4 linked regions of the Arabidopsis thaliana genome follow. The protein of the gene in region 2 interacts with the protein of the main gene of each other region in a biochemical or structural test. Each region holds a gene or a part of one and is shown on either strand. Other genes may lie near its edges.

What was found.
Region 1: the proteins of PEN3 (region 2) and TCH3 form a complex in vitro, tested with the Arabidopsis thaliana proteins (one study listed by BioGRID).
Region 3: the proteins of PEN3 (region 2) and CAM3 form a complex in vitro, tested with the Arabidopsis thaliana proteins (one study listed by BioGRID).
Region 4: the proteins of PEN3 (region 2) and FBX2 form a complex in vitro, tested with the Arabidopsis thaliana proteins (one study listed by BioGRID).

The regions. Positions count from the first base shown.
Region 1 is NC_003071.7:17,136,139-17,140,107, reverse strand, and holds TCH3 (Calcium-binding EF hand family protein), read right to left. Parts: upstream 2,280-3,969; 5' UTR 2,219-2,279; exon of another isoform or gene 1,993-2,218; 5' UTR 1,978-1,992; coding exon 1,902-1,977; exon of another isoform or gene 1,802-1,901; coding exon 1,535-1,801; exon of another isoform or gene 1,435-1,534; coding exon 1,165-1,434; coding exon of another isoform or gene 1,103-1,164; intron 1,064-1,102; coding exon 702-1,063; 3' UTR 501-701; downstream 1-500. Other genes in the region: AT2G41105 (uncharacterized protein), read left to right, coding at 949-1,053, 1,103-1,177, 1,622-1,657; AT2G41090 (Calcium-binding EF-hand family protein), read right to left, coding at 3,490-3,628, 3,746-3,969. UniProt on the Arabidopsis thaliana protein: Potential calcium sensor that binds calcium in vitro.
Region 2 is NC_003070.9:22,032,655-22,040,473, reverse strand, and holds PEN3 (ABC-2 and Plant PDR ABC-type transporter family protein), read right to left. Parts: upstream 6,052-7,819; 5' UTR 5,814-6,051; coding exon 4,976-5,813; intron 4,894-4,975; coding exon 4,763-4,893; intron 4,487-4,762; coding exon 3,224-4,486; intron 3,138-3,223; coding exon 2,981-3,137; intron 2,902-2,980; coding exon 2,797-2,901; intron 2,718-2,796; coding exon 2,572-2,717; intron 2,488-2,571; coding exon 1,646-2,487; intron 1,558-1,645; coding exon 630-1,557; 3' UTR 348-629; downstream 1-347. Other genes in the region: AT1G59865 (uncharacterized protein), read left to right, coding at 7,177-7,474. UniProt on the Arabidopsis thaliana protein: Together with ABCG37, regulates auxin homeostasis and responses by playing a dual role in coumarin (e.g. esculin) and in the auxin precursor indole 3-butyric acid (IBA) efflux transport, thus influencing cotyledons, roots and root hairs development.
Region 3 is NC_003074.8:21,033,999-21,037,987, forward strand, and holds CAM3 (calmodulin 3), read right to left. Parts: upstream 2,169-3,989; 5' UTR 1,923-2,168; coding exon 1,847-1,922; intron 1,357-1,846; coding exon 983-1,356; 3' UTR 536-982; downstream 1-535. Other genes in the region: AT3G56790 (RNA splicing factor-like protein), read right to left, coding at 1-457; AT3G56810 (uncharacterized protein), read right to left, coding at 2,929-3,479. UniProt on the Arabidopsis thaliana protein: Calmodulin mediates the control of a large number of enzymes, ion channels and other proteins by Ca(2+). Among the enzymes to be stimulated by the calmodulin-Ca(2+) complex are a number of protein kinases and phosphatases. Activates MPK8 in vitro.
Region 4 is NC_003076.8:7,144,375-7,149,033, forward strand, and holds FBX2 (F-box protein 2), read right to left. Parts: upstream 2,904-4,659; 5' UTR 2,644-2,903; intron 2,416-2,643; 5' UTR 2,304-2,415; coding exon 684-2,303; 3' UTR 503-683; downstream 1-502. Other genes in the region: AT5G21050 (hyccin), read left to right, coding at 3,516-4,583.

The sequences.
Region 1 (3,969 bases), on a different chromosome or scaffold from region 2:
TCCAGTGAGTCGCCTCCTTTGATTTTCCTTGGTTCGTTGGTTTCTGGTTCCAATTCGTTAGTATTTGTTTTCTCGTTATTGTTAAATGCTGTCTTTTTTAAAAAAAAACATTTATTAGAATTATCAATTGTGAAGTATTCGTTTGGATGGTAAGTGGAGCTGTCGCTACATTTGTCTAAATTATTAAAGATTTTGCTTTTAACTACTACTTTTTAATACTACATTGTCTGTAACATTATATGTTTTTTGGAAGTGCATCGAACGTCCTTGTTTCTGCAATAACAATCACAAAGCAAAAATTTGCATCGGATAAAAACAAATCGAAGAAATACATGCTTATGACAATTGATTAACATGGTAAGATATGAGGCTTAGCTGATTTGATCACTGTATGTGCCAGATCATTAACCGATTTATCATATTAGATCAATTTTTAGTAGTGAGCTACCAGTTTTCAATGATTAGTTCTGCTACGTTTCAATGTTTTTCTCAAAAGATACATTAATACCCCAATTATATTCGATACTGAAACCATATTACAAACTCATTTTAATAAATTGCACACAACTGAAGATGGTAACACACTAACACATGCAATAAATTTATTACATAGAAATTATTGTCATTAGATGAAACGCCTTTTGAGAGAGATCTAACATAATTGTCAGACCCTATTGGCATAAAGTTACTGACGTGTCATTTCAAGATAACAGCGCTTCGAACAAATCTTTAAACCTATCTTTCATGAAGTCGGAAATTGGCGAAGCGATGATATTGCTGGCAACCCCGACCGCTATGTCCCTCTCCCAATTGGTGCCACCAGCTCTGTCATTTCTAGTGTGACGCTGCACTTGACCCTGACCTTGATTCACAACTCTGTACGTTTCTTTCTTAGACTGAGTGTCAATCATTTTACCAGTCATTACACACACAAACTCAGAGAAACTGATGGTTCCGTCACCATCTGCATCCGCTTCGTTGATCATGTCCTGGAGCTCAGCTTTTGTTTGGGTTTCACCAAGGGAGCGCATAGTAGTACGGAGCTCATTCACGGTAATGTAACCTACAAAAAGTAAGCAATGACTTATGTTAGTCATTTCAGTGCTTTGAAGATGATCAGGATCCAATATGTACGATTAGCGAGAAAGGGACGATGAACCATACCATCACCATTCTTGTCGAATACGCGGAAGGCTTCCCTGAATTCTAAGATCTGATCGTCAGTGAGCTGATAATCCACCATTGTTTTTTTAGTGTGACGCGGCGCTTGATCATGACCTTGATTCTTAGCCATTAGGTACAAGAACTCAGGGAAATCGATGGTTCCATCACCATCTAAATCCACTTCGTTCATCATGTCCTGAAGATCAGCTTTTGTCCGGTTTTTACCGAGGGAAAACATCACGGTACGGAGCTCCTTTTTCGTAATGGAACCTACAAAAAGTAATCAAGGACTAGTGTTAGTCATTTCATTGCTTTGAAGATGATCATGATCCAACATTACGATTAAATGGAAAGAGTTGATGAACCATACCATCACCATTCTTGTCGAATAACCTGAAAGATTCCCTGTACTCTGTAATCTGATCGTCAGTGAGCTTATCCGCCATTGTTTTTTTAGTGTGACGCGGCGCTTGATCATGACCTTGATTCTTAGCCATTACGCACAAGAACTCAGGGAAATCGATGGTTCCATCACCATCTAAATCCGCTTCGTTCATCAAGTCCTGAAGATCAGCTTTTGTCGGTTTTTCACCGATTGAACGCATCATGGTACCGAGCTCCTTTTTCGTAATGGAACCTACAAAAAGTAATCAAGGACTTGTGTTAGTCATTTCATTGCTTTGAAGATGATCATGATCCAACATTACGATTAAATGGAAAGAGTTGATGAACCATACCATCACCATTCTTGTCGAATAACCTGAAAGATTCCCTGTATTCTGTAATCTGATCGTCAGTGAGCTTATCCGCCATTGTTTTTTTTGTTTTCTGTGATGACTGAAAGAAGAGTTTGTGAGACAATTTGTACTACGAACCAGGACTTGAAGCCTTATATAATAGTACCCGAATTATTTGAAATGACGGCTATATCCTCAAACTTTTCCACGTTCACGCAATTTCTACGCAGGATCGTTGTCTGCCATGTCAGCTTATCCTTTCAAGTGTGAGTCGCCTCCTTTGACTGGCAATTACTTGGTTGGTTCCTTCTTCCAACTTGTTTTTTTTTTTTTTTTTCATTTATTTGAAAGAAACATTTATTTACAATGGAATTTTGGATGGGTGAGTGGACATTTGCCTAATTTATATTTTAGGTTATAGTTTTCTTATACTGACTCCGAAGGAGTGTCCTTATTTATGCAAAACTAAATAAATCATAATAGAGAAAACACTTGCATAAGATAAAAATGAATCGAAGAAATACAAGCGTATGACAATTGATTAGCACATGTTTAGTAAAGTGTTGTTGTTGAAGTTAACGAACGTTACCAATGAAATCTGATCTGAGGGATTCCACAAGTGCATTCTACTTGAGAAAGAGCAGAGAAGTTTCTACATCCTGAATATTCCTGATTTAACATCTCTGCTGTGGAAGGAATTCGCAAGACAAGTGTGTGGAAGGTTAGAAGAAACTACACAAACGACCAAAAACATGGTACATAAGAAATAACGAGAAAGACCACAGAAGTTTCTACCTTGCGGGGATGGCTTGAGCAAGTAAAGTTGACAGAAAACCACTTCCTGTGCCCGACTCAAGAATCACGGGCAGGGGCAATCTCAAGGTAGACTAGAAAGCTACTACTACCCGCCGCAATGTAAAGAATCTGAGTCTTGTGACCTGTTTCCATATGACCCAACATGCCACATGTACTGCATACAAATTTACCCTTGTTGCTTTGGATTTTGGGCCAGCGAAATTACACGGGTACAAAATAAGAAAAGCCCATATCGAAGACATGTTATCCAAGTTTTCTGATATTGAACATGCAGTAATTTTCCACACATTGTAGTCCAAATGGGTCAAAGGGCGTCCTTTGTTTTGCTCAAAACACTTGGGTTATCGAAATTGTAGACGTGTGTTTTCAATGTTGCAGGGCAGGTTGGTGCGAGGCATGTCATTATTCATTAGATGAGTCCTTATAAGAGTCTTGAAGAACTCTGGGACGGTGAGATATGAGGCTTAGCTGATTTGATCACTGTATGTGCCAAATCATTAACCGATTTAGATCAATTTTTAGTAATGCTACCAGTTTTCAATAATTAGTTCTGCTACGTTTTAAATGTTTTTCTCAAAAGATACATTGATACCCCAATTATATTCGATACTGAAACCATATTACAAACTCATTTTAATAAATTGCATGCAAGAAAAGATGGTAACACAATAAATTTATTACATAGAAATTATTTTCAAAGATCAAACGCCTTTTTAGAGAGATCTAACATACCAGCCAGACCCTAATGGCATAAAGTTACTGATGTACCATTTCAAGAAAACAACGCTTCGAACAAATTTTTGATGAAGTCGGTCATTGGCGCTGCGATGATATTTTTGGCAACCCCGGCCGCCAAGTCCCTCTCCAAAGTGCCACCAGTTGTGTCATATTTAGTATCATGACCTTGATTCCTAGCCATACACACAAGAACTCAGAATGAAATTTAAGAACAAGAGAGGAACATTCTTTATGAAATTAGATAAGAGGTAGTAAAAAAAGGGGAAGCGGAAAAGTTGTTTAAATCTCACTTGGCCATCATAAGCCTGGCAAACTCTCTGTAGTTGATCTGACCATCACCATCAACATCAGCTGCCTTGATAATCTCATCGATTTCTTCATCAGTTTGCTTCCACCGGAGGATAGTCCTCACATATCTCATTTCAGCAGCTGAGATGAAACCATTCTTGTCTATGTCAAAGAGTCTGAAATCTTTCTTGAGGTCTTTCTCAGAGTAAGTGTCCTTAGCCATTGC
Region 2 (7,819 bases):
ATCCAAACCATATTATGCAATGATCAAGATATAGGGTGGTGTATTGGCCTAAACATTTGGGTATGATTAAATGGAAATTTGATTGGGAGGACTTTTGGTAGGATTTAAGGAAATTTTAGGTGATTTAATCCAAAATTCAAAATCGTTTTGTCGTTGTAAGATAGACTTTTCTATATTTAGAAAAACTGATTTATTGAGATTTCTCATTAAACTTTATGATATTGGTGTTGTGTTGTGATAATTTTTACAGAACCATGTTATACAATTATCAAGATTTAATCATGAAGAACATTAACTTATCCTCCATTGATTTTGTCTTCTTTGATAATGGATATGATCACACTTTTTTTCTGTCTTCTTCCTCTTATTGGAAGTATCGTAAAATAAAAAGTCTCAAGAAACAAACAAAAATGGACTTTGAGGGATTTGTGGATATAAACACAAAAAAAAGTGGAATTATATTACATGATTCCGATTCGTCATCATCTATAAGACAATAAATAAAAATATTCAAAAAAATTTCGTTATGACACTACAATACATATTTAGAACATACAAAGCTTATAGTGCATATAAACAACACAGAGGATACAAAAAAAGAAAGAGACTTTGTTGTTTGAGAGATGGTTTTATCTGGTCTGGAAGTTGAGAGTTCTGATGCAGAAGGCGAAGATGAAGGCGAAGAAGACGGTGAAAGCGATGAGTACAGCCGCCACTGGTCCCATAAAGTCAGATTGGAAACCATAATGGTCCTCAATGTATTGCTTGACGGTTAAGTCAGGAGCACCACCAAGGACTTGGATACGTGTCTCCACATCACCGTACTGCGACACTATCAATCCATACACGGTCCATGCAACAGGGCAGATCCAGTAGTACCAAATCCACCATTTTGGGATTTTGGGTCTTGGAATGAAGAAACCAGAGAAGAGGTTGAAAATACCGTAAAACGCTGAGGCGAAAATCGAAGCGACTTGTTGGTTTGGTGTGAGGGAAACAGTCATCATGCCGTAGTAAGTCCAGTAGAGGAATGAGAAGTAGCTAACGAAGACGAACCAGAAGAACTTTTCGGCTTTCCATTCGAAACCAACCATGGCGTAGACGATGAGTGAGTAGTAAACGGTTTGAATAAGGACATAGGGAAGCTCACAAGTGACTTGAGAGATGGCATATGGCATGGCTGAGTACATTCCTGCTGCTCTTTCTCTGTAGAACACTGTTCTTTCCACTGCAACCATCGGTTGTACTGTTGAACAGTTGTTGATTCCCACGAAGATAATCGCGGCATACAATGCTCCTATCACCATTGTTAGATCCCCTGCGTTCGACCTGTTACCTCCGATTTGCCAGAAGACTGTACCAATCAAGAGAGATGTTGCCAATGTGAAGATGAAACGGACAAGATTGTAGTCTGGAGATCTCCAATACGTCCACCATTGTTTCCATAAGCATGATTTGAACTGTCCCCATGTGTTTTGTGAGAATTGTGTAGCAAAGTAAAGATCTGATGCTCCTGCTGGTGGTACACTTAGTTCTTTTACCAACGCTTTGTTTCGCCTGCATTTTGTTATGTATTCATTAGTACTATTACTTAAACAATCAATCAGATGCAATGAGCCATGGAAAAGAAGGAACTTAAACTTACTGGTGCAATGCTGATTGATTGTATAACTCAGCAAAGTCAACACTAAGCTTTAGCTCAGCGGCGAGTGAGCTAGCTTCGAGCATCCAAGTGGCCGGGTTATACTTTTCTGGAATCTTGGACACTCCGGGGAAAGATTCAAAGTACTCAACCACCTTGTGAGAGTTTTGACCCAATGGACCCGCGTAAATCACTTGTCCTCCTCTCTTCATCAGCATCAATTCATCAAATGCTTCAAAGATATCAATGCTAGGCTGATGAATGGTGCAGACCACGGTTCTTCCAGTGTCCACTGTGTTCCTTACCGCCCTCATCACAATAGCCGCTGCTCTAGCGTCTAGCCCTGAAGTTGGCTCATCCATAAAGATGATGGAAGGGTTGGCTACAAGCTCCACCGCGATTGTCAGTCTCTTTCTCTGCTCCGTGGAAAGCCCCGTGACACCCGGTAAACCAACAATGGAGTCCCTAAGACTGTCCAGCTCTACCAATTCCATCACTTGATCCACAAACATCATTTTTTCATCTTTGCCGACTTCTTTAGGAAGACGAAGGAAAGCAGAGAAAATCAGAGATTCTCTGACTGTTACTTGCGGGGAGTGAATATCGGTCTGCTCACAATATCCTGAGATTCTAGCAAATGTTTCTTGAACCTTTGGGAATCCTGATATTCTCACATCTCCTTCAATGTATCCACCTGTTTTCCTTCCGGCCAAAACGTCCATAAGCGTAGTCTTACCGGCACCACTCACTCCCATAAGCGCAGTCAAAACTCCTGGCCTAAATGCACCAGTCACACCTTTAAGCAGTTGGAGTCTTGTTTCTGTAACTCCTTGGTCTCTCATTTCCTATACCATCAAAAGATATCTATTTAGTTTAAGTAATTCATATTTAATTTAGTGTAAAGATTTTAAGTGAAGATAGTTACTTACCCCAGGCATGTCAACAAAGTATTTGACGTCGTCAAAGGACATAGCTAAAGGAGTGAAAGGAAGAACCATTCCTTTCTTATTGCCTGCACCACCTGATGCTTCAGCCGCAGAGTCCCTACTCATTCTCCCCATTGCGACCTCTCCTCCTGATAGCAGGGAGCAGAATGAGACAAGAGTACAAGAAAAGCAAAACATCTAAGCAGATTAAGAAATGTGTTTACTTACTTCTGTTCCCATCTGCAGTAGACAAAGATCTACGCATTGGATCTTTCCCCTGATCAGCGTCTTCATTTTCTTCTTCTGGAAGTAAACCTGCCTTCTTCCCAAGAGCTGTAGTTTCAAAGGTACATTATTAGTAGTCTATTGTTTTTAGATTTGGTAAAACGGGTGATACAACACGAGAACTTACGGTTGAGATAGGTAAGTGCCAAGGTGAATAGAATGTTGAAGAGGGCTGTGAAACAAAGCAAGGCTCCAACTGAAATCCAGTACCAGTTCTTTTGATGGTAGACATCCCAAGTATTAAGCACCATAGTTCCAAGCTTTATTGTGCTGTTAGAAGAAGCCTGTAATTTGAAAAAAATATGACTCAGAGGCGGCTTTACTATGATATTTGTTTGTAAAATGCAGAATAAAGAAGTAAGCCACTTACCATTTTGTTCATCCATCTGGGAGCAAACATTTCATTGACTACTAGACCGTTGAAAGCATAGGTGAGAGGAGATACCCAGTAAGCCCAACCCCACCAGTCAGGAATCTTGCCTTTCGGAAGAAGGAAGCCTCCGAGCAAGAACACAAGAAGTAGAGTGAGAGCACCACCAGTATTAGCAATCATCATGGTTCTGCACACAGAAGCAATCAACCTAAAGAGGGATGCAGCCATTTGTTGAATCAGAAACACCAGAAGAAACTGCTTGAAGAAGCGGCTGGCGTCAGGTGCAAAACCAATGGAGTAATAAGTCACCACCATCCAAGCCGTCGATTCTAATATTGAGCTTGGAATCCCAAGCAAGAAAGTGGGAAGTGAGAAGGTCCAGGATGGATAAAACAAGAGATCCCTCTGTTTGTAGAACACAGGGAGTCTTGAAACCATCATAGCCATCTCCGCAAACCCATTAAACATGTTGATGATCATTCCAAATAGCAATGCTCCTATGTAGAGATTAGCATCACCCTCGTTTCTTGTGTTCATTTCGGTTCTCAGGAAGAGTGTAGACGTGATTGCAGCAATGATGACGATCTGGACAGTCTTGAAAACATAGAAGAACGCGTTTCGCTGCATAAGCAGCCACTCTTTGTCCCAACAGCTCTTGAGAAGCTCCCTCTTTGAGACAGAGTACTTATCGAACACAAGAGCTGCTTTGTGGCCGCGAGACTTATCGAACGGTACTGCAAGTTCGTTAGACATCTTCGTCCCAACATGGAAACTCTTGTATCTACTGGCAAACTCTGAAACCGGAATGTAGTGATAAGGTCTGTTCGGGTTCACCCAGTACTGTTCTTGATCTTTCTTGGAAGTAACCTCTTGCAGGAAATCAGCTGTTCCTTTTCTCTCAGGACACTTGAACCCAAAGCTCTCAAAGAACTCAAGAATGTTGTCTCTCGGTCCTTGGTACACGATCTGACCTTCCGACACCAAGATGATATCATCGAATAAATCAAAAGTCTCAGGAGCAGGCTGGAGGAGAGACATGAGCACCGTGGCTTCATTGAGGTGAACGATTTGTTGCAGACACTTGACGATTTGGAAAGTAGTGGAACTGTCAAGACCAGTGGATATTTCGTCCATGAAGAGTGTCTTAGTAGGTCCAACAATCATCTCACCAGTTGTGACACGTTTCTTCTGACCTCCAGATATACCTCTCATCATGTCATCTCCAACTATTGTGTCTTTGCAAATGTCAAGCCCCAAAATCTGTTACACGGCCAAAGTTAGTATTATACAAAAAAAGACTCAAAACTTTATGAACATGAGAAAAGATTGTCTAGAACATTTTTAGAATATGAAAACTTATATCAATATTCTAAAATAATGAAACCAAACGGTTAATGAATAAATTCCGGTTCAGTTTCGGTTTATAAAAAACGATTTAGTTCGATTCGATTTTATGAGTTGCTTGCCTAGTAACAAACACTCTTCTTGAAACAAAAAGAACAAGATGAGCTAAGTTAAGGCGAGAGTTGGACTCACTTTGAGAGTATAATCAGTGACGAGACTGTTCTTAACACCTTGAGCAGCAGAAGCTTTCATGAAGAGATCAACATCGGCTTCCGGGAATATACCAGCGTCCTTTTCTCTCCTCGCAAGCTCATTCAACAGATCTACAACAACAAGAATCAAAACCATTCAACAAAACTGAATCTTGAAAAAAAGATATGATTAAAGATTGAATCTTTTACTTACCATAACGAGTACCAACACCTTGACACCTAGCAGAGAAGTCAAGAGTCTCCTTAACAGTCATGATACCAACATGAAGATCGTTCTGACTAATGTAAGCAGAGGTCTTTCTCGGAACAAACTCATCGAGTTGGTAACCATTGTAAGTAATATCACCACTGACTTGTAGAGATTTATCAAGTTTCCCAGCTAAAGCCAACAAAAGAGTGGTCTTACCAGAAGAAGGAGGACCCAACAAAAGTGTCATCCTTCCAGGTTTAATAACCCCAGAGATATCTTTAAGAATCGTAAGCTGAGCTTTCTTAGCAAATTGAATACCAATCATACCTAAAGCAGACTCTCCCATGTTCCTCACAACATTCAAAAGTGTAGGAAGAGATCTATTACCAGTGTAACAATCAGCTTTAATCGTCAAATGCTCGTACCTGACTTCAACAGTTGGAAGTTTGATACCAACTCTATCGATCCTGTTTCTTAGCTTAGTCAAGATCCTTTCATTATCTTGCTCAGCTACTTTGAAAACCATGTCAATAAACTTCTGACGATCTTCACCATCAAGCTTGGTTACATCAACCTCCTTGCTCATGAGCTGGTTACCGTAAACATCGTCTTCGACTACAGCGTTCATGAGAGTGGTTCGGAGACGACTGTAAGTTGGTAGCTTCTCAATGGCAGCCCATTTAAGAGCTTCTTCATCGTCGTTGACTGATTGTGTTCTTCTTGAACCAGATGAGAAGATATCTTCAATGTTCCTACTTGCTCTGCTTACACTTCGACTTATGCTTCTTCTCATACTAACACCACCTCCTCCTAAAGGAGGAAGATTTGGATTGTAATCCATCGTTCACCAAGAAAGCTTGTGACTTTGGCTCAAAGTTTATGTCTTTTGAACAAAGTTTGTGTTTTTGGATCAAAGTTTGAGACTTTGGATCTAATCCCGTGAGGATTTAGTTGGGTGATACAGAGAAGAGAGAGAGGAGGAAGATGATGAATGAAGAGAAGAGGGTGGGATTAGAAAATGGATAAATAGGGAGTGAGGAAGGAACATCAAGGCGGACTTTTCTTTATGTTGACTATTCATACTTTGTTGAAATAATCAAAAATAATAAAAAGTCGTGTTTTTTATGTGCAAGATGGGTTTTATTATTCAAATGTGACGGCTCTTTTACGTTGTTTTTTTATTTACAAAAGATATTTTTTGTGCTAATAATGCGACGGCTCTTTAACGTTTGTTATTTTATTGCAAAGATATTATGTAATAATTGAAGTGTTTGAACATTTCTTATTCAAAGTCAATAACGATGACCCCATTTAGTTATAGCTACTACTAGTGGAGATATCGTTAAATGAAAAGTCTTTCTTGTGTACTTTGTTTCTTTTCTACATTTTATTGGTGAGAAAAGAAAGGAAGACCGTCGTTGGGTTTTGAAGTCATTGTGTTGATGAAGTCACATTCACATTTCAATTCAACACATACGTGAAGGATGGTTTGTTTATAAGTCTTTGTGTTCTGGAAAGTGAGAAGTTGCGGAGGAAGAAGCCATTTAAATACCCGGAATAAGAAGTTTTAGTGACAACTCCTCAATGTTGTTATGATAAGAAGACTCCATTGACTTCCTCTTAAACTCTGCGTTTGGCTATTTTCTCAACTAATCTTTGATTAGTGCTCTGCATTTTGTGTATTAACCAATGTCTAATTCATTCCTTCAGCCAGCAAATTTCATTTTCCTGAGCTCTTCTCAGCTTCTTTAGTAATGCTCTATAGGTTGGTTTCTTTGTCAATTAAGCTCTCGGTCTTCTTCAGTCTGCAGTTTATACTCCAAGTTTTCATTTACCTTTGAGGACGACTCATCGATTTTTTCAAGAGAACAAACCTACATTGCTCTGAGTTTTCTAAAGCAATGTTCTTTGGCTTGACTTCGTTGACCAACAAGCTTCCTTTAAATTTCATGCTTCCAGTTTCTGCTTCTCTAACTCTTTCCTACAGATCCTCATTCTTCTCCTCAAGTTCCTTCAGTTTATTCTCATTTACCTTGCCAAGTTCCCGACTTTTCCGCGCAAATGAAGTTCTCGCTGTCTCTACACAGTCTTAGAATGGACAAACTCATTTTGGGTGTTTACTTATCTCAGTCTTCAAGAATTTTTCCTTACTTTTCACTTGTATATTTTGCAGCCAACTTATAACTTTTAATTTGGGCTCCACAATGTTCAAGCTATGGTTGACATATCAACAAGACCTTCTCCAATCCTTGCCTTGCTTTAAAAACGCTTCACTTGTATCCACCAAGCTTTCATATACCTTTGACAAGTTATCGAGTTTTTCAAGAGAAAAAACCTTCATTGCTCTGAGCTTTCTGTTTTCTAAAGCAACCTTCTTTGCCTCGACTTTCATGCTTCCAGTCTCCGCTTCTCCAACTCTTTCCTACAAATCCTCACTCTTCTCCTCAAGTTCCTTAAGTGTATTTTTCATACATGCTTCTTCTTCTTCTCATTTTCCTGAAGGTCAGACAAATTCACTTTGCCAAGTTCCCAATTTTCCACACAACTGAAGTTCTCGCTGTTCCCACATAGTCTTAGAATTGAAAAACTCATTTTGAGTGTGTACTTATCTCAGTCTTCAAGAATTTTTCCACAGTTTTCATTTGTATCTTTTGCAGCCAACTTATACCTTTTCATTTGGGCTCCACAATGTTCAAGCTATGGTTGACATATCAACAAGATCTTCTCCAATGCTTCCCTTGCTTTAAAAATACTTAACTTGCAAATCCAAAGTTAAGCTTTCCATAGCTTTGTTGCTTTTCTCTTATTTTCTTCTTCTTCTTACAGTTTTTTCCTGTCTGAGTTTGT
Region 3 (3,989 bases), on a different chromosome or scaffold from region 2:
TCTTTGTCAATTTAAAAGGTTGGGGAGGTTTAAGAATATTCTGAAAAACATCTTTCTTGTGTTTGTTGTTGTTAACCATCAATGTACTAAGATTAATCACATGCCCATACTCATCTATTTCTCTTCCAAGTACATCTACACGCAGAAAAAAGCCCTTGGTCTGTTTATGTGCAACAGCCGTATCTATTGCCAGCTCCTGAAATCGTTTAACAGCTTCAAGGATTTGACTAGAAGTAGTGTCCGATGCAATAGAACAAGTATACGGCCTTTTCTCAAACCTAGCTACATCTTCAAACCTAGAACTCTTGTTTGTCGTCCTAGCCGCCCCATTCTCTTCCTCTGATCTATCTTTCCTCTTACTTCCTTCGTGAGACCTCTCATGATGATGCTTAGTCCTATCTCTCTCATCACGATCGTCACGGATGCTCCTGGAATATCTCTGCTTCTTGTTATCCATGATGAGACAAATTTAGGGGAAGTATGAAACGAACGTGAACAAAGAAACACAAAGGTATTTTACCTATATTCACATCAATTGAATGATCCCAATTCAACCACGAATAGGAAACTTTATGCCGTTTTCCTTTTTCTTAAACGACCACGAATTGGAAACTTTTATGTCGGTTTCTATTTTTTTAATGATACACACCACACCACGTTTTGACCTTTTTAGTCATTGATAGGACCTAATTTGCATTTCACAAAACCATGATACAATGCTTTACTAGAGAGACACCATTAATAAAAAACCGCGAACTAGACCAAGGTTACAAATTACAGGAGCAAGACAACAAAAAAACAAGACTTTTGAAAATGTTCAGACGCAAAATAGAGCATAAAAGGGATAAAACATTCGCGTCTTAAACAAGCAGAAAACATACCTCGAGTCCCATGAATAAAAATTATAGAACATAACATAAGAATTTATATGTAAGAGATGCAAACCAAGTTTATAGAGCCATTGTTTGGTTCTAAAACAGCATCACTTAGCCATCATGACCTTAACAAACTCTTCGTAGTTAATCTGACCATCACCATCAACATCAGCTTCCTTGATCATCTCATCAACTTCTTCATCAGTAAGCTTCTCACCAAGGTTTGTCATCACATGGCGGAGCTCAGCTGCTGAGATGAAACCGTTCTGGTCCTTGTCGAAAACCCGGAATGCTTCCTTGAGCTCTTCCTCAGAGTCGGTGTCCTTCATCTTACGAGCCATAAGGTTCAAGAACTCTGGGAAATCAATGGTACCGTTACCATCAGCATCCACTTCGTTGATCATGTCTTGAAGCTCTGCTTCGGTTGGGTTTTGTCCAAGGGAACGCATCACAGTACCCAGCTCCTTGGTGGTAATGCAACCTACAAGCAAATCAAGAATTTGTTCATCATTCACTTCTCTGTAAATCTAATTCAATCAAATATCTTCAATTACGAAACTCAAAGCAGGTTTCTCTGTAGAGAAGCATTTTAGCTAGATCCCAAACTTCTCAATTAACAGTTTCTAGTCATTAACTTCTCAAATCTAAAGTGAGATAAAATAATTCAGATGGAAAATTAAATCCAAATCGATAACAAATTGGCAAATCTCCAAGTCATCAATCATCCAAATTTCGATTCAAATCCAATCCAGGAAACAAACGAACAAAAATTGAAAAACAAGGAACGAGTCTAGAGATCACGAATTACAGATCCGTTAATTATCTACATCGACACAGATCAATTGAATCAACAAGAAGAACAGAAATCAAATCAGTTATGGCTAGACACCAAGATCCAACAGTAGCAAAATCCTATGTATTCAAAAACATTTGAAATTGCGAGAGGGAGAGAGAAAAAAACAACAACGTACCATCACCATCCTTGTCGAATAAGCTGAAAGCTTCCTTAAACTCAGAGATCTGATCGTCGGTGAGCTGATCCGCCATTGTTTTTTTCTTCTCCTTTTCGTGAAACCTGTAGATTCAGAATTTTTTTGTTTTCTCTCAAAACGAGAAAGAAGAAGAAGAAGAGAAAATTAGAAAAAGTGTCTCTGCTGGAAAAAACGAGAGAGCAACCGTATTTATCGGGTACGAAGCTATTAACGACTTTTGCTCCGACCCGGGACTTTAAAAGCTTTTTTTTTTAACCCGTACCGGGTTTGGAAAAATCTCTGTTATAACCTCGGATTATGACTGTAATTGCGTTAATGCTATCATCAATGATTTCTTTTCTCTTATAAAACGCCAGAGTGGACAATTAAACGGATCACACGTTCACGCGGTCTGTACGCGGAGCGTTGACTTGACTGTCACGTCAGCATTCTCGCTGGGTCCTCGAGATCTCTCTCAGTACAGATGTCTGTTTATGATTGGCTTCGCTTTTGAATTTAAGTAGTCCTCCTCACCATTGAAAACAAATAATTAGTTTCTTTTATTGTTAACTTAAGTACAATATCACCTGCAAATTAATTAGATTAGATTTCGTTTTCAAACAATCAAAATCACTTCAAGATATAATTGATACGTCTAATCAATTTCTTAATAAATTCTATGATTAAATTATGTATATAAGGTAACTTAAGAAAGGTATATATAAAGAGAAAACGATCGAGTTTTAAAATATAGGATGAGTTATTAAAAAAAACATTAATATCTGTATCTAGATGAATATATTGTTTCTGATTTTGTTAATCATTCATTTATTTAAGGAAATCTATGTAGTACTAGTATATACATGAATTCATCAAATAGGGAAAGTTTTTATATTGAATGCAAATAGTGTATCATTCATTAAACCCTAAACAACCAATTGCACTCTATTGAAAGATATGTCTTAAATTCTGAATAAGCTAAGAAAATTATAAAATAATTTAAACAACAAGTGTCATAGGTGAAAATTGTCGCAACTATGACTTCCATAACCGTCACAACGAACCTAAAGATATCAATCGCATCAAAACACTAATCTTCTTCGACACGCGTCGAATGGGAGAGAGTTGCTGCTGCCACGTCGGATGTGTTGGCCTTTACCTCCTCCGCCGTAACAAACAGAAGAATCCACCGGCGATTGATAAAACTCGTCGTCGTCGTAGTCAGAGAAGGAGAGCTCTCGAACGGTCTCTGCGATCAAGTCGCGACAGATGTGATCATGAAGAGCCAAACCGATTTTAGCGACCTCTCTTCGTTGACCAGATGCCACGTCATCACAAACTTGGTTCACGCTCTCCATCAAGCTCCGTCTTACCCTCCGCACCACAAGGGGCAACGTGCCACATGACTCTGTCGTCGTCGTTGACGTTGATCTCTTGGAAATGACGTCATGAATGGAGTAATGATCGGGTCTAGTGATTAGATTTATATTGTTGACTTTGTAGGGTTTGTTGTCTTTGCAGCAATATTCGTGATGGTTCATCATCGACAACATCGTGTCTGTGTCTGGTTCGTGTTGTGTCGTCTTCGTGTTCTTCTGCGTGTGCGTCCCCACGACGACATCTCCTGCCAGTACTGTTGGTTGTTTGTTAAATAAGACGAAAATAATTTATCAGACAACTTGTGTGTTTAGTATATAAATTAGTACGTTGTCACACAAATATATATAAACTATTACTAGCGAATAATAAGACTCAGGCATACATGAAGTGCTTGTAGAATCATTTTTCTTTAAAAGTGGTGTTCTTGATTTGGTACCATAAAACAGTATGTGGGTCAGAATCAGGAATAAATCAAAGAATGGGTGGGGGTCCAAATGATGGGAAAAGTTAAAGTGGGCTTCATGACTAAAGGAATAAAGGCCCCTAAAAGCTGTTTCTTCCTTCATCATTTGTCTAACATGCCTCTTTCTCCTCACACTTTCTTTACTCTCTTCTCCACTTTAATTTGATCCTATCAGATTAGACTAAACCTCATTACATAATTAGCCCCACCGAAACTTAATTGGGGTCCATACTATATTGTCTTTATATAATTTTGAACACTATCCTCAATATGACAACAACTATATAATGATCCAATTGT
Region 4 (4,659 bases), on a different chromosome or scaffold from region 2:
AAAAGAAAGGATTATGTAAGAGGAGATGAAGAGGCGTGCGGTGAGTGCAAAGAGTCTTAAAGCCTTTTTATGTTTTACGCTAAGGAAGACAAAGAGTTTTTCTTGTACATGAAATTCGAGAGGGTACACTAGTCATTGATTTCTCACTTACATTGCATGCATTACTTTTTTAATTAAGTGGATAATTATTGGCTTTTGTTGTGGATTAACTGCAATAGAATTTAGTGGGTAGATTGAAGTCGAAGAGACTAGGAATTCAAACGAGAGAACTAGGAATTGATCTGGGAATTCAAACGAAAGAACCAAGACTCATGAGGCTTTGCTATTCTGTCATGGTCGATCAAATATCAAATTCTTCAAGTTTCAAAGAAAAGCCAATAGAGAATTGGAACTTCCTTTTTTGTTTATATTTTTCGTTTTCTTGTTTTTGAACTTGAAAAATATTACTATGTTTGTTGTATTGTAAGATTTTGAAATTCAGTTAGAAGTTAGTGAACCTTCGAGGAATCTCTTGCATTTTTTCATACTAAAAGCTTCCAAAATATATGAACTAAAAGCCAATTTTCTCATTTTCCACCAATCATAAAGACCCAACTCTGATAGCTTAAAAGTTAAAGCCAACATGTGTCAAGGTTATAAAATTGCTTTACTAAATGTATTAAAGATAAATCCAATCTTATCGCTTAGGCCTTCGCCTTCCCGCTTGCTCTTCGTTTACTATGCCAGGCTCGGTTCCTTTCTCCATTGATGGGGTTCTTATGAGCAGCAATGGAGCATTGGTCAGGCCTTCCATTCTTTGCGTTCATCTCCATTTGCATTCTCCTTCGTCTCATCCTATTCTCATGCCTCATTCCTTTCAGAGCTCGGGTCCTTCGCTCTATCTCCAATGCTTGTGTGAAGTTCCATATCCGGACTGTGCCTTCTTCACCTCCACACACTATACGGTCATAACCCACGTCCACAGAGAACAAGTTTGACCCGAACCCGTGCAGCATTCGTTGTGGCGGTTCCACAGTACTCGAAGAAATCCTTTTGGAATAGGCACAACGGTTAGTTTTTAACAGTTTCCTAACGTCGATAAGTGCGAGTTTACCGTCACCGGATGCTGAGACAAGCCAAGGAAACTCAAAAGAAAGAGAGTAGACAGGACTAGTGTGAGGCATCCATTGAGATATAAGTACAACGCTTGTTTCACTACCGTATCTTCTGATCTCAAACATTTTAATCCCTCCATCTTCTCCACCAGTAAACAGGAAATCCCCAGTATGGCTTCTTGCCAAAGAGTAAGTGGTACCCTCATGAGCATCAGGGATGATCGCCAATGGAGTCTCACTGCTAACGTCCCAAATATATACATCAGAACCTGACGTGCTAGCGAGGGTGGTTTCATGAGGTGCAAGTCCCCAAACCCAATCACTATGCCTCAAGGTTTTGACACACTTCATTGAAGATCGATCCCATATACGAACAGACATATCCCATGAACCGCTAAAGATACTTGTCATGTCCAGGGCAAGAGATGTAATAGGACCCTCATGTCCCCATAGCCGAAACTCAGTCTTCTCTTTCTGAAAACCTGTGAGATCAAACAGGTTCCGGAGACCATCCAGTGATTTCCAGCAATGAATGAATCCATCAGTACCGCCAGCTACCAACAGCTTTGTATCAGCAGCAAGTGCCCTAATCGTACAACCGAGAGGTTTAGATGCCGCAATAGACAAGCCTTCTTCCATGTCCCACATCCGAACAATGGAATCATATCCAGAAGTGAAAACGAGCTTGGCAGAAGCTAAGAGAAAAACAGTCCGGACTGCTTCAGTGTGACCATACAGAGTATCAATACTATAACGTCCTAAAAAGGTCCTACTCCTAAATTCCCTTTCAACAAACAGATCTTTCCATGATCTCTCATCAGAAAGCCCTGAACTTGCAGCTCCGAAAACTACAGGGAGTCCCCATCTCTCACGATAGAACTCCTTCCAAGCGTGATGCTCAGATGCTAACCTATGCAGATAAGTTGAAACACAAGACACTAGACCCAACTCTTTTGGGTCAAGGCAATTAAGAATCTCAGATATCAATGCCTGAGGTAAATCAATAATGGTAGTAGACAAATCCTTGTCAGAGAGTAACTGTTTCGAGCCACTGGGCACTAAAGTTCCCTTCTTTTTCTGACAACACAACTTCACATTTGGAATCTCAACAGACCCATCATTACCTATTCTCAAATCGGTATTCAAAAGACCAGACTCACTTCTTTGATCGTTCGCAGCTTCAAGTCTCTCTTGGCACTCAAATTCCATGAAAAGCCAGTCAGCGTCCGATGTAGCCCGTAACACTTAAACAAGGAGCTTTTCACGAACGACTCTGACCGGATCTCGAAAATCTACAGCACCAGAGACGAATCCAGCTAAGCTTGAAGATAAACGAGAAAAACGATTCATCAATAGAACCAAACCAGATTAAACAAAATACAAATTTTTACCCCCAAAAATCGATAACAATCAGACCAACACATCATAAACAAAGAAAAACGAAGAGATTCGTAAATGTTAGCTAAAACGAAACAGAGGAACAACGATAAATCCCTAGAAACAGAGATGAAAGCTAAAACAAGCAAGCGGAATCGAGAAAAGTTAGTACCTTTAGTAATCAAAAACAATCTATTCGTAACAGAGAGAGGATTTTCGCCAAAATTACGTTGCCCTAATTTCTCTAATCGGATTGATGAGATTTTGAAGATGGAGAACCAAAAGGTCCAAAACCAACCAAGCATCAAACAATGTAAAAAAAAAAACATTATTGCCAATTTGTTTTTTTTTTATGGTCCCCGGACGGTGCTATACTAACCGTCCGATCGAAAAACAAATCAAGCGTCCAGATCGTACGATATGAGCAGCTACAACACATGTATATCTTTGTTTTATTATATAAGATTGATCCTATTTTTGCTGCGTTATATTCTCAAAGTTTTCAAAATTCCACAATAAGTGATTTTTAGTTGTAAATACGCTTTTTCTAGTAAGAGTAAGATTTTGCATGGAGATCATATATCACATGTTCTTCCATGCAACCATGACCTTGAAGCAATAGCTTATTCTTGTCCAATAATGCTATTGGCGCCAGAGGGAAGTGGACAAAGAAAGAGTTTTTGTGAGATCTATCGAACATAATTTGTTCCATGGCTTGTTGCCGCCTGAAGAATCTAACGACCATATCACTTGGGTTAGCCCCTTTGTCTCCGATACACACAAGCGACTATTGAGGATGCACATGATGTCTTTGAAACGGTCACGTTCATGAGATAACTTGAAAAGTTTCGGTGTGAAATGACCCATCTAAATACACGGGATAAAGATCAAATTTAATTTGGGCTTCTAGCCCATAACTATCAAGCCCATAATTTGGTTTACTTTTATTTGATTCTATTTTTGCTGCGTAATTTTCTCAAAGTTTTCAAAATTTCCATATTTTTCACCTCTACTCTCTCAGAAGCGATCATCATCTTCCCCAAAATGTCTGATTCTTCCTCAAGCCATGACTCACCACCTTCTCCGGCGATCACCGGAGATTCAGAAACCACAGTGACCAACAACGAATCAGAATCCAACACAAAATGTCAAACAGCAATCCAATCCTTATCCACGATCGTCACAAACACAAACATCCCTTCCACAATAACCATCCTCCTCGACGATGAAGCCGTCTCCACCGCGATCTCCTCTCTCCTCCTACGTCCCGATTCAGGCGCCGGAGATAACAACCTCTGCCGTTGGCTCTACGACACATTCCAATCCGCGGAACCATCGCTTCAGCTTCTCGTCCTCCGATTCGTTCCTTTAATCGCTGGTCTCTACCTCTCTCGTGTCCCTCTCCGTCAACCACAAGCCGGATTCGAAGCCGTTTTACTCGCTCTCTACGCGCACGAAACAACCTCACGTGCCGGTCAAGCAATAACCGTCAACATTCCAGATCTCTCATATCCAAGCATTTACCATGAATCCAAAGGTCTCACAAGGAACAACAACTCAACGTGCCTCAACATCGCTGTGATCTCCTCCACGTTAGATCCACACGGGACGGTTAGATCCACGCGCCGCGCGAGGATCGTCGGAGTCGCGTTGGAGCTTTACTATAGCAAAATCTCGAAAATGCCACGCGAATCTAAGCTTAATTTCTGTGAATCGTGTGAGAAATGGGCGGGGCAAAACGGAGAAACGGAGCAATCTTCACGGGCTGTGATTCCGACTTTGAGCGATGATTCGTGGAGAGAGGAAGAGAATGTTGCTATTGGAGGAAGATCTGAGAGAGATAGTGGAAGGATTCCATTGCCATGGGAGCTTCTCCAACCGATTTTGAGGATCTTAGGGCATTGTCTCCTTGGGCTCAAAATGGAAGATAGGGAGTTATCTGAGGCGGCGAATAAAGCTTGTCAGAGTTTGTATCTCCGATCTCTGCATGATATAAATCCGAAGGCGATTTTGGCTACCGGAAGTCTTCTTCGGCTCCGTGAGATGGCTCTTGATCCCAAGAATCAAATCGATCACACTGAGCTATCAAACGACACCGTTCTCTCCGTTTGACCCCGTTTTGTTATTTATTTAGTCAACGCTTTCTTTTAAACAACCAGCAAAAAAAAAAAAAATCTCTTTTTGGTAA